Astyanax mexicanus: one gene and its partner. The protein of the gene in region 1 purifies or fractionates together with the protein of each later gene. This does not show direct contact. Links are inferred from orthologs where the notes say so. Each region holds a gene or a part of one and is shown in the gene's direction. Other genes may lie near its edges.

What was found. Proteins that work in one complex are often made in the same cells at the same time.
Region 2: the proteins of smarca1 (region 1) and pole3 purify together in Homo sapiens (affinity purification with mass spectrometry; 3 studies listed by BioGRID and IntAct, with this or other methods). This does not show direct contact. The link is inferred for Astyanax mexicanus from reciprocal best matches to the Homo sapiens genes SMARCA1 and POLE3.

The regions. Positions count from the first base shown.
Region 1 is NC_064408.1:35,517,980-35,525,298, reverse strand, and holds the start of smarca1 (probable global transcription activator SNF2L1), read left to right. Parts: upstream 1-4,239; 5' UTR 4,240-4,342; coding exon 4,343-4,399; intron 4,400-6,903; coding exon 6,904-6,984; intron 6,985-7,098; coding exon 7,099-7,265; intron 7,266-7,319. Other genes in the region: gab3 (GRB2-associated-binding protein 3), read right to left, coding at 970-1,053.
Region 2 is NC_064408.1:17,396,905-17,404,367, forward strand, and holds the start of pole3 (DNA polymerase epsilon subunit 3), read left to right. Parts: upstream 1-4,376; 5' UTR 4,377-4,835; coding exon 4,836-4,901; intron 4,902-5,872; coding exon 5,873-5,958; intron 5,959-6,053; coding exon 6,054-6,172; intron 6,173-6,820; coding exon 6,821-6,999; 3' UTR 7,000-7,463. UniProt on the Homo sapiens protein: Accessory component of the DNA polymerase epsilon complex. Participates in DNA repair and in chromosomal DNA replication.

The DNA.
Region 1 (7,319 bases):
GTATAATCAGAGAATCTTCCATTACTTGTTAGCAGGATTAGCCTCAGGGAAAAAGAAACCACACATGTTTTGGAAAACTGACTACATCCATACTAAAATGGGAGTACCATTTTAGTCCCTCTATCAAATCTATTTTTTTTTTTTGATAAGAAACTGATTATTTTAATCAGATGTTTTAGGAGTGGTCTACCTGCATAATGTTGCCCAAAGACAACAGATGAAAAAAACACTGTTTTAGTAAGTAAATATAATAAGAATATAAGAAGCCAAATGTTTTTACACATTCTTGCACATATACATATTTGTATTTATGAACCAATTGTACAACTCATTGCATTTGAAGTAGATATGCCTTTTAACATTATATATTTTTAAATATAATTAAGGTATGGGGTAATACCCAACCATTTGGATTTGTTGTCTGAGGGCAACACTATGCCATAGAGGGTTAAGGCACATGTTTACCCACAACACAGCAGGGCAACAATGATTTAGGTGGTGTGAGACTGTGATGTGATGAACTGAATATAGGATAAATGAAGGCTTGTCAGTACTGATTAGTATAATTAATACATAAATTAGCTAGTTACAGTTTTAGGGCATCCAGAATTCACAAACACACACACATACACAGTTGAACTATCAAAAGCAAGGCATGACGGGTGTGTTTTTAGAGGCCAGTGAGCTGCTGATGATGGTTTGATACAGCACTGCAGCACCTGCTAGCCTCATACTCGCGCGCGCACGCACGCGCACACCCATACACACACTAAACCCAGTAAACTCAGGGTACCAGGGCACAGGGTTTTTCTTCAGCGTGTCAGTGAGTGATGCATCGGCGTGGTTGGTATTAAGCCTTTATCTGTCTTAACACAGTGAATGTATCTACAGGAACACCCACATACCACACACACACATACACACACACACACACACACACACACTAAACACAACAGTTTTTTTACTCACGTATCTCTTGAGCTTTTTCTCTGGCGGGGATTTGACGAGCCATCCGGTACACACCACGTCCCCTGAGCTCATGTCTGTGTCCATGTGTCTCTGTGTATGTGTTCTCTCTGTGTGTGTGTGTGTGTGTGTGTGTGTGTGTAGACTGAACACAGAGCAAATCCTGTGTGAAGCCTCCAGCGTCTAGATGAGGAACTAACTAGCTAGCACTGATCAGAGAGAGAGAGAGAGAGAGAGAGAGAGAGAGAGGGGAGGGGAAAGGGATGAGGCAAAGAAAGATAGATATAGTTCTCCAGAAGAGCCAGAGGAGTGGGAGAGAGTGTGTGTGTGTGTTTTTCTAAGCTTTCTTGTAAATGAATTGGAAAGAGAGATAGAGAGGACATGTACGTATTTGCATGCAGTGTTGAGTGTGTGTGTATGTTCTTTTTTCCTTCTTTGTGTGTGTGTATGTGTGTGTGGGTGGGTGGTTGGTTGGGAAGAGATGACCCTCCTATTAGTGTGACACAGTAGCACATGACCCTGTGTGTGTGTGTGAGTGTATATGTGTGTGTCTGTCTGGAAAATGCTGCGAAGCCACTTTTAATGGTTTACTGGGCCATCTGTTACTCAGAGAAGGAGATGGGAACTGTGCTTTATATGACATATGTCATACTACTATTACTACTACAGCTAGTGTAGTGCTACTACCATAAGTAACAATTGTATTAATACTTCTACTACTAATACTATTCTACTACTACTACTACTACTAATAATAATAATAATAATAATAGTACAATTGTACTAGTACTACTAATAATAATAGTTGTAAAATACTATTATACTACTACTACTGTAACTACTACTACTACTACTACTAATACTACTACTACTACTACTAATAATAATAATAATAATACAATTGTACTAGTACTCGTTTTAAAAATACTATTCTACTACTACTACTAGTGTAATAGTACTACCATTATTGCTACAACCATTAAGCATTAAATAGTGCTATACCCCTAGCACTTCTATTGCGACTATTTTACTACTGCAGCTTATGTTAAGAATAATCATATTATTATTACACTATTACTCTTACTACTAGTACTAGAGCTACTATTAGTATGAATAATTACATTCAACTAGACTACTACACTAATGATAAAATATACCAATAAATATACAACTACCATTACTACAAGTAATACAACCAATGCTACTACTACTACTAAAAATATATATAATAATAATAATAATAATAATAATAATAATAATAATAATAATAATAATAATAATTTGAAAGTCTTTAACAAATGTTAATTACATCGAAAAATAAATTAAATACCCCCACTAGCTCATTTAAAGCCAGTGACAGTTTAGAAATAACAATAAGCATTCAAACTCGAGAATTAGCTGGTTTTGTCGCCCTCTAGTCGCCAAAGCTATTTACAACACAGTAATAAAAAGGTAAAACAGAGGAATACATTCAAACTGTGATAATGAAGTTATCTGTTCAATTATTTAAATATTGCAAAACAACATCTCATTTGTACTTTGTAATAGTTTAGTCTCTAAATTAATTTGAGTCTTACCTAGTTCTTAATGTAAAGAAAAAAAGCTGGTAATATACAAGTGTAGATACAAAACCCTTTATTTCTGCAGTAAAATGAGTTATTTATATTCTAAAACTTTGTGAGCTTTGTAGGGATTCTCCCACAGACCACTTGGAGAAGCTGCATGTTCACTCTGTACTCTTGATAATTTATAATGATTAAGATAATAATTATAATTATTTATAATAATAATATCAGTTTTGAGAGGAATCAACCCCAAATTCTGCATGTTTGAAATAGACATAAAAAGAAGACAATTGTAACAAAATGAAATGTTTGGAGGACATGAAATGATTAATTCATATTTAGGGAAATATTTATTTAAAAATGTTAAAAGTTCAGGAAGGTGCCAATTTTGTGATTTTCATTCATAATTCTTATATTCACTTGACAAATAATTTAAAATCTTTTCAATTACTTTTACAGCTAATATTTTTAATAATGTTTTTTATCAAACATGAAAATTTTATATGTAATGCTCAAAGGGAAATCCTTAATACTGCTAAAAAAAATTCATTGGCTTAACTTCAAAAGTTATCATTTTGCTTTGGCTCAGTTAAGTTGTAAATACATAACATGTTAAGTTCATTCAACTTAACTCAGTCAAGTTATCATTTATACCAAGTATGCAAATAGATTGTGACAGAGGCCAATGGAAAATAAGCTGCCAATGACATTAGACTAAACTCAGCTATTATAAGTTGGTTATTATTATTATAATTATTATTATTATTATTATTATTATTATTATTATTATTTATATATGGTCCACTTGTGTCCACATTTATATATATTCCTTTTAATTAAGAAATGTTTGGTTACCCCGTGTCCTACAGTAATAAACCACATCAAATCCTGGATGTTTCTTGAGATTTCTTTGGAAATTATATTACTTTTCATCACTTTTTTCTCTCAGTGGGGCTTAGGTTCATATGTTAGGGAAAAAACTCCATGTACATATTTAAATATTTTGTGGTATGCATTTTTACTTTGATCAACATTGCAATTTGTGTTTATCGGCTCTTTTTTGTGGATAAAATCCCTACAGACTTCATTGTAGTATGTAATATTTTGTGGAGGTTTCCCCACATTTCCTTTTCACTACTCCAGACTGCATTCTATGTCACTGACTGTGAAACAATTGGGTAAAAAGCCGTTTTTAACATGTTTTGTTCCACTAGTCAAAATTATTTTATTGTTTTTTTCCCCTGTAAATCACCTTTATCAAAAACACTTCTCAGAATATACTTCATTTTATAGCTCATGAATTTTCATGAGCCTATGGCTAATCAGAGGCAGCAAACCTTGTCCCTTTCCTAAACATATATAAACGCTGATAAAAGAGCATTGACACGTATAGTATACCAGAAGTTGGTTGAAATCACGTTTGTTCATTGGCTCAACAAACATTTTTAAGTTTTCAGATTGAAGTTCTCTGAACTCATTTTATTGAGTTGTCCTGGCCGGTAAGTTCACTTAACTGGATTATATTTCTTCTCCTGACTAAAACACAAAATCACGTTTAAGAGTGAAGATATAGCTGTGTAATATCAGGCAGAAATTTGACAAAAACGCCGGCATGTTAAGGGGTTAACGAGAGTAAATCAGACTTGAGGGTTTGTTTACATCAATGCATTTCAAAATCTCGCGGTACTTCGGGGCTCTACCATCGCGATATTTCCCGCTGAAGGGGGCGTATGCCTGCCATGTCTGAAGCTGCGGCTGCGAGCTGTGTTTTTCTGTGTGAAACTCGCTGAGCGGCTCATGAGAGGCTAAACATGTCTGATGAAGAGGTGCCGTCAACCTCTGGGGAGCCCGGGCCCGGGAAGGAGAAGGTAAATCGGACATTTAACCGCAGAAACAACAAGAAGTCACAGAGCTGAAGTTGTGTTATTTTTCTCCAGCTCCATATTCGAATTTTCCGCTCCACCTTAAACTGGGCGGCGGTTAGGCTTTGGCGCCTGTTCTGAGCGCGCTGGCCCAGTACAGTAGTTTTTAAGGTGGAACGGAACATGCCAATATGGAGCCAACTTCAGCCTCCACAGCAAGCACAAGTTTTCTACAGCACAGAAATGGCGAATTTCGCTGGAGACTCAGCGCTGAAATACACCAATTAAACATTTCCCAACACAAACTATAAACTAAACCAAAACACGCAGATTTATATAACAACATCTGTCTCCAGCTTTCCTAACTCTGTCTCTGTCTGTCGTGCTGCTGCTGGGTGAGACTCCCAGGCCCAGATTTATCACATTAAATAGCTCCTTCGTTCTTGGTAATTTAGTTTGTGTGATTCTGGTTTCTTTCAGGAGGTCAGTCTGATATTGGTACTTTAATTAGCTGAATTTAAACCTGACACCTAATTTCCACATGAGTAACACTGTAATTACAGTAATCAATAAAAATGATATATAACGTTAGCTATATGCTCCACTACTTATATCATTATTCATGATTATATATTATATCAAAAGTTGCCTGTAGTAATTCTGGGATTTAAAGGTGTAACGTTATATTATAACTGTACATTTTTTTAAAAAATGCAGCTCTGGAAAAAAATAAGAGACCATTTAAAAATTATGAGTTTCTTGATTTGACCAAACTTCAAACATCTGGAATATAATCAAGAGGAAGATAGATGATCACAAGCCATTAAACTAAGCTGAACTGCTTGAATTTTTGCACCAGGAGTAGCATAAAGTTATCCAAAAGCAGTGTGTAAGACTTGTGGAGGAGAACATGCCAAGATGCATGAAAACTGTTATTAAAAACAGGGTTATTCCACCAAATATTGATTTCTGAACTCTATGAATATGAACTTGTTTTCTTTGCATTATTTGAGGTCTGAAAGCTCTGCTTCGCTGTTGTTATTTCAGCCATTTCTCATTTTCTTCAAATAAATGCTGTAAATAACAATAATTTATTTGGCATTTGGGAGAAATGTTGTCCGTAGTTTTTATAATAGAACAACGGATTCAGAAACTGAAGTGGTCTCTTAATTTTTTTTAGAGCTGTATAATCTGTTTTATGGTTCTTTCTGGACACATTTCATTTATTTTATTAGTCTATTCTTGTCATTTTAAAGGGATTTTCCAGAGAAATGTTTTACTGGGGGAATACTCTAAATGTATTGGGAAAACCTTGCTTTAAAGTGAAGTGTACAAATAAATCAATCCAAAAAATATTAGTAGTAGTATTGGTAGTATTAGTAGCAGTAGTATGTTTATAAAACATACGCTTGTATTAGTATTACAATATTTTCTACTGCACAAACAGTAAAATTACCACAATATTGCATAATATTAATGTTTCTAATACCATTGTACTACTATAAATATTGAGAATATTAGTAATAATAATAGTAATAATAATTTTTCACTTGAACAGTATTAGTCCACCCTCTCCACCCTAACAGCGCTTGGCGTCACCTGAGTTTTGATCATCGACCCCACCCTGCTCAACTGAACTCTATTAACAGGCTCTATAAAGGAGCCCCAGTTAAGAGTATTTTATTTGAACTCTTAGCTCTGAGTGTTTTATGTCTATTCTGTATCTGGTATTCTGACCTTAAGCTTTGATTTTTTACTACGTCTCAACATCGTCCTCTGATAACCCTGTTTGCCCGTGATTTGACCCTTATCTGTCTTTTGGATTGTGTGTGGTATAAGCTCTGCCTGCACTTGCATCCGGTCTCATTATTAGTTTAAGATGACAATTTTCTATGGCATGGGCAGTGAAAAAATCACAATGTTGCATAGTATTAGTTTTGCTTTTAGTACTGTACTACTATGAGAGCAATAATAATAATAATGATTATTATTATTATTGTTATTATTATTATTATTATTATTATTACTATTATTATTTTAAGACAGTTTAATAACCATTCCTAGTTCTACCTTAATGAAGTGAATGAGAGAATAATGAGTAAGCAAAGTTGGCATCAAAGCAAAAGATGTTACACTGAAGAAAAAAACATATTTTGGCCTGTTTAACACACTTTATTTTATAATTTCATATGAGTTTCTTCATAGTTTTAACGTCTTCACTATTAATCTACAATGTAGAAAATAATAAAACGTCCCTGTTCACTGCGCCACCACCAGGAGGTGTTCTGGGTTAAGGAGCAAAACATCTATGAGCGGTGGTCCCCAGCTGATGACCCTGCAGTTAGTAAACAAGACACCGGTGGAGGTGCTACATGCCTAAAGCACAGCAGGAAAACTTCTGTCTGTATAAATAAAAGAAAAAAAACATTAAATGAGCAGTGGCATGTCCTTGGTCTGGTCCTGTATAAAATTGGACGGTTTATGTGACTTGTGTTTGTGTATGTGTGAAGGATCCTCCGTTCCTGCTGGGCCCCCCTCCAAAAGCAGCAATAAAAGAAGGCACAGTGGACCCTGAATATGAAGAAAAAAGAGTGAGTGTTAATTACGAGTGTTATAATACTGCTAGGAATCACTGTCAATTCTGTGTGAATGAAAACACTTTACCTTATCTCCTTCTCTGTTTCTCTCTCTCTCTTTCTCTGTAGAAAGCAGACAGGGCTAACAGGTTTGAGTTCCTGCTGAAACAGACTGAACTCTTTGCTCACTTCGTCCAGCCAGCGAGTCAGAAATCCCCCACATCGCCCCTGAAGGTGCGGATGGGGAGACCCCGCACCAAACAGGATGAGAAACAGAACCTGCTGTCTGTTGGAGAGTGAGTCCAACACATACACAAACACACACACATATGCAAATTCTTAGGATCTGA
Region 2 (7,463 bases), about 18 Mb from region 1:
CGACGCTGACTCATCTTTTGAGACAGGGCGCGGGTGGGGGGGTGATGGGCCCTGCATTGTTTAATATCACCATATACAGTATACTGTTAAAAAAATAACATTTGCAATGTAATTTTTTTCTAATATTGTGCAGCCCTACTGTGTGTTTCAGCAGTGAATGCAACTTTCAATCAATGCAGCATTTATTAGAAGGGATGTCCACAAACATTTGGACATACTTTATGGTATGACATTCACTAGAATGAATAAAAGCAATTAATCTAAAATGATTAGTTTAGTTTTTAGATTCATTACAGGCTCAAAAATTGTAACTGTTTAAAATAGAAATTGTAATAAAATACACTGACATACCAAAAGTAATTTACAGAAATTTGTATCCCATGACTTTTGGCATGTCTTTTGGAAGCTAAAAATACTGCACTGACTCTCTGCATTAAATGTTTATGTGACTTAGCCTCCGCCTTTAACCCATACATTCAGTGAAAACACACATTTTTGTGAGAACACGTGCCCAGAACAGTGGGCAGCTGGTGCTTTCGGCACTCAGGGAGCAGTGAGGGTTAAAGGCGTGTATTGAACCCACAACCCAGTGCTCTAACCACTGAGCCACCACTGCCCTAACTGTCTGTTCATATGGACAATTTTACTCAGAATCCTGTACACTGTGGGTGGTAATGCCTTCTATGAGGTATTTCCAGTTTACAAATGACTGCACAATATCTGCACAATCTAAGAAATGGAATGTCCTGTCTTCCACCTGGCACCCACTATCAGACCTCACTCCAACTCTGATCATAAACATTGCCTTGCTATGAGCATGCTGACCACTGTTCAACCACACTTACCTCAAGATAGCACCTCACAACTTACACAAGTAAGGGCTATCCCACTCCTCCTAAGATTTTATGATTAATTTGCATTCTTCTACACCATCTTTTGGCATGTTATTAAAAATGAAGTACATTAGACCATGATAAAGCATTTTCTGTTTGATGGAATGTAATACAATCTTTTTCACAGCATCCACACATACATATGACACAAACACATACACTGGAGAAAGTCTAGATCTATCCCACAGCTCAATCTTAAAGGATCATTCCTCACGTTAAATTAGCCATGGCTGGAATTCCTCACTGACCTTTGCATACATGAATTAAAATGCTACGTGACCATCGCATATACCCAACACGCCTTGCCAATACTAAAACAACCACCCTACAGCTTTTCCTTTAAGAACAAATCACAGAAAACACATTTTCAGGGACTTTTCACACGATCTGAGTTTGAGATAAACAAACCGTTTGGCAGCTCTAAAACGCAAGCAGCTCAAAGTGTGAGAAACTGAAGTCTAAAAGAAACACTGCAGATTACTACTGAGGTCAGCAGAAACATTTCATAATAGCTTCATACTTCATCACTGATGCCTCAATAATGATCATGGAACATTCTCTGAAATGGAATGCTTGTTTTGGAGCAAGTTCAAAGGCCGATGTTGATCTGTGTTACTATCAAATGATAACATCTATTGTACAGAATAATAACTTTCAAATAGGATAAAGCATTCTGATTCTATAGAGATGTATTACTGTCAATCAAAATAACAATACAAACTTCACATCCTTACTATATACACTTCATGTTTATGACATGAAATATTATTATAAATTAATTCTAAGAATGTATCATATTATGAGATATTTTTGTATAATTATGTCAAAGGACATTTTTTAAATTACCTTACCTTATTATAAAATAAAAAAAGACATTACACAATCCTGACAGAACATCCTGAAATTAAGATTAAGTATCTCTTTATGAGCTACTTTTTTATATTAAAATAAAATGACATGTTTTATTTATGTCAAAGAACATTTTTGAAATGCCAAAAAGTAACTTATTATAAAATAAAAAATGACATGCCATAATCATGACATAGAATATCTCAAAATTACAAAAATGTATCTCATTATGAGCTTCGTCTTTGAAAACAAAAGGACATATTTGAAATTCTGAGGACATATCCCATTATGGGGTATTATATCATAAGAATTATTATGAAGAATTATGCATTTTTTTTTTATTATGTGGAAATATTGCAATTATGAGATAATATGAAATGATAACAACAAATGATGTGCCATAATTTAGAAATAAGCAATCTGCAATTATGGGATAAATATCTCCTTATAACATATCATATTTTTTTATAGCTATATATAATTATGGCAGGCTAAATTTGAAAATGTTGTTTTACTGTAATAATATAAAATGTATAGTGTCACAATTACGGAGTGATATTTTTATGATGTCTTATAATATCCCACTGATAATATATTGCAAAATTGTTGTTTTAATATTTGAAGGGACACAATCGCCACAGCATATCTCTTAAAAATAATAAATAAATAAATAAATAAATGCAATAAACAGCTTCGTAATGTGAATATGGACAGCCTAAATCTCTAATCCAAAAATACTTTTAATATCAAAGTACTTTGACAGCTTATACCCCTTTTAAGAAGATAAAGTAAAGTAACGTTTTTTAAGATTTTTTTTTTTTTTCAAAAACATTAAAAAACAAACAAGGACATCCAAGATCATTTAATCATACAACCAAAAAGTTTTACGAGCTAAACAAAACATTTATATTTATATTCTTTATATGTCATTCATCAGCAAATCTAACTCCCTCATGTTCTTAGTTAGGCAGTTAAGAGAATCAATAAACAAATCAAATTCAACAAGAAATAGATTTAAAAGGGTTTACCTTTTTGTGTAATGTAGCTACTTGATAACTTTACAGAATTAAAATTAGTATAACGTACTAAAGCGTTACGCGCATGCGCAGTATGGACAGGCTGTCTGCAGAAATGTTATTTATAAATAAAATGAGCTAGAAAACAGAAAAGGATAAATATTGAGGGCCTAGAAAGATAAATGGGTGAATAAAATAAACACATCAGCAGCTCCGACAGTAACTGTATAAAATAAAACCGTGTATTATAATAGACTGGCTGCCCGCTCTGCTATTGGCTGCTGCGGGAGCAGCGCTGTGTGTGAGCGGGTGAAGGGTGAAGGGTGAGGCCAGAGTTGCCAGGTTCGCAGGTTTCCCGCCAAATTGGGCTTTTTTGAAAATCCAGTCGCGAGTAAAAATCTTCCTTGGATTACAACAATAAAAACCAGGAGAATATAACTATGGGAACTAACCCATTGCAAAGACTTATAATTAAAAACATTACTATTGCATTTAGATTTTATTTTTGACATTTATTATGCAGTTCATCACGAAAAGGCAAGGCCAAAATAAAGCTTAATTTTTTCTTTTCACAATTACCTTTTTTATTTTAGGTTTATTTTTTTATTTTGTGAAATACTCGTATGCTAATAAAATAAATGGCAAAAAGCCTTTTCAATTTAATTTTTTATTTTTGTCACTTATGACCCATGCTCAAGAGAAAAAATTAAATTACAAATGAATTGATTAAATTTTGTTTTTAATTTTGTTATAATATTTTCACACATGTTTGGAAAAAGAAAGTGCAAAACTGTATTTGCATTTTCATTTTAGTCTTTTCATTTAAGTTTTATTTTTGGCAGGATTTACCTCCCATGCATAATGACAAATAAATCAATGTAACTAAATATACAATGTAATCAGAAATCACAAGGCGATGAAAAAAATGTTAAAGAGGAGAAAAGAGAGCTCAGGAGGGACAAGAACAGAAATGAGTAAGTAAAAGTTTTTTTTTTTTGCTAATTATGTAACAATTAAATGTTCTTGACTGGGATATAAAACGGTTAAAAAAAATAACTAATAAAACACTAATTCCTTATAAACAAAATACTAAGTCGTCCACTCCATGCTAGGGGTGGGCGATATGGCTCTAAAATAATATCACGATATTTCAGAGTATTTTTGCGATAACGATATACCTGGCGATAGAGGAAAACTAAAATAATTAATTAATTTCAGGAATATAGTATAACAGTATAACAGAATAATCATAATGTGGCAAAAATAAATAATGTAGCATAAAATAATATAATGCAGCAAATAATATTGCAGAATATTTAGTGCATGCATATAAACTAGAAACTAAAACAATTACACAATAAATACACTTAAAGCTTCACAGTAAATAATAGGCTACTTTTAAAACAGAACAGCCCTATTACCACGATATGGATTTTTAATATCACGATATTTCTGTGTCACGATATATTGTATACGATATAATATTGCCAACCCCTACTACATGCTTAAAACGTGTGACAAACCTATATTTTGGATTAGTTTAATCTTCTGAAGGGCAGCTTTTAAGACTGACTTTGGGCTGGATGGTTTGGTTGGACCTGGCAACCCTGCGGTGAGGCGGGGGTTTTTGGATGATAAGCGGGATTCAGCGGCTCAGAGCGGCGAGTTTCTTTCACCTCAGTCCGAGAAGAGCTACCGGTTATTTACTTAAATAACCCGCTGCTGTTATTATTATATATATATTAGTGTACTGAGCGGGTATGGCCGTTAACTGATAGTTTGCGGGCGTTTTATCGAGTTAGCTTAGCCTAACTGGGCTGTTTTCTATCACACTGCAGTCACAGGTGGTTAGCTGAGCTAGCGTCAGTTAGTCGGTAGTTTTGGCGGACTGATAGTCTGTTCTGCTCTTTATTGAGCGGGACTGTATTATTGTATATGTTTAGCAGAGTTTGGAAGTGTCTCCACTCTTCCTCAGGCAGAGTTTTGGTCTATTAAAGCTGTTTAAGTTTAGTTAATTTATTAAATCACTCGTTAGCCTAGCTTACTCACTGGACTAGCTGTGTGTGAGTGAGTGAGCATGGCTGAGAGACCGGAGGACCTAAACCTTCCCAATGCTGTGATCACCCGCATTATCAAAGAGGCTGTGAGTAAACTTACCTAAACTACATACCTACCTTCCTACACACTGCTGTGCTTAGATTAAACATTTTTATCTAGTTAACCTCTAAGTCTAATTTCTGATATAAGTAAGGGTTTATTTGCAGTTTAACTCTATATATGCTAATTTAACTGATGCTACTGCCACCTGTTAGGTTGCCCACTGTTACTTGCTTACTGACAGACTCTTAACCTTAACTTTAATATTAATATACCATGTAAAAATGAATAAACTAGATAAACAAAAACAATTGAATGAGATGGTGTATCCAACCTTTTGACTGGTACTGTACATTTACCTCTATGTATATGTAAATGTAAATATGCCTGTAGCCATAGGAGCATATAGGGCTGGGCGATATGGGGGGAAAAAAACATCGTCATGATATAGTTTTCCTTATCAGTCAAAATCACGATATAAATCAAATCACTTTCTGTCACACTTAAAGGTTTCCTTTTACTCGTAAGTAATTTTAGTTAAAAAAATATTTAGTCAGTAATTAACAAATGAACATTAGAACGTTATACAACTATATAAATAAAAATAAAACACTCAAATCCTGTAAATTCAAAGATCAGATGTTACAGAATAACAAAGTGGGTGTTTCAATTCTCTGTTAAATATTCACAGAACAAGTTATATCAAAATTTTATCATCTGTGGCTTACATTTCTATCAATCGTTTTATCGCACAGCACTAGGAGCATACCATAATATCCATTTTGGTTTCCAGCATTTTATTTAATAAACCAAACTGTTTTTGTACTAATGTAAAATATGACCGTTTACATGAAAAATTTCCCTCACATTTACATGAATTTTATTCTCATTATTTAATAACACAGCAGTGTATGTATTGTAAATATACACTTTGGCTGTGAGTCTCATCAGCTTCAGTTGCGGTAGACCAGAACAACTGTGTGAAATGTAATTTTCCTTTTGTGTTGCTTTTGTAAGTTGCCAGATGGTGTAAACGTGTCCAAAGAAGCAAGAAGGGCAATATCTCAAGCAGCCAGTGTGTTTGTTCTCTATGCAACATCATGGTATGTCTGAAGACCACAGAACAGAACTTTTATCTCGCCAAATACAACAGTAAGTGTGTGACTAATCAATTTTTAAAAATATATTTTATTTCCAGTGCCAATAGTTTCGCTATGAAAGCCAAAAGGAAGACGCTCAATGCCGGAGATGTGATGTCGGCTATGGAGGAGATGGAATTTGAACGTTTCTTGCCACCCCTGCGAGACGCTCTTGAAGGTAACTGATTAGGACTCTCACAATACATTTTTGTTTGCTGTGGCACTTTGTAAAGCCTGTCAGACGTTGTGCTGCATATTGTTAAACAATATAAAAAAAAAAAAACATAAACAGCAGTTAACCCTGAGTAGTTCATCTTTACCTTTTTTATTGATCCGTTGGCCATTAGACAACTAGCTTTAAAAAGTGCTGTTTGTTCTTATGCAAAAAAGATGCAAGTAAACACAGTGGGTAATACTGAGGTCAGCAAAAGTGACCTCCATATATTAAATGATACCTTGATAACACAATTTTCACAAAAGGCCTGTAACTGATGAGACATTTCATATGTTTTTTTAGTTGGGGTCTCACATAGTTGTATACAGTGTATAGATATGGTGTTGAAAAAGAACCCTGACATGTAGTTGCAGGATTTAAATATTTGCTCTTAGAATTTTAAAAGCAGCCATTGATAAATTGTGTGTCATGAACAAACAGTCTGTAGTGACAGTCTTCTCCAGTCATCTGATAAGTGAATTATATTTATATGTATTTTTTGTTGTTGTTTAATCTTACTAAAACTGCTAATTCTGACTTTTTTAGCACATTTATTTTTAAGGGTGTACTATTACTAGTTCTAGGCTTATTTTTGCCTGTTTTGTTTATCAGCCTACAAGAAAGGACAGAAAGGCAAAAAAGAGGCATCAGAACAGAAGAAGAAAGACAAGGAGAAGAAAAACGGTACAGAAGAGCACGACAAAAGCAGAGAGGAAGAGGAGGAGGAAGAAGAGCACATGGAGGAGGAGGATGGAGAGAACGAAGGCGAGGAGGAGGATGTGGAAAATTAAGGGGTACAGCAATTTAGCAACAAGCCTAAACAGACTAAGGAGCCTGATAGTAATGTCCACGTTCTAGATGAAATTGGAGAGGAAGAAGAAACAGCTGTCAGCACTTGCTTGGTCTAATTAAAAAAGAAAGGTGTATCTGTACAAATCTGAAGGTAACAAAAGGAGTTCACTATTCTAACATGGCACTGATGTATTGTGCTATATTCCCTTCCCTACATTCTTTGACTGGTTCTAATAATAGAGTCTGTGTTGCAGAGATACTGGCTCTACTTGTAGTTGAACAAGAGTACATTCACTGTGTATATTAACTGTAGTGCCACAAATATGTGCAGTGGGGAAAGAAAATTAGGGAGTATAGATTGACCAAGCTCTGCTAACTTGCCTAACAATCATTTGAAGCTAGTATGCACCAGGTAGAATAGTGTAAATTGCAAAATGCTAATTGGTGGCCATTAGCTTTTAAT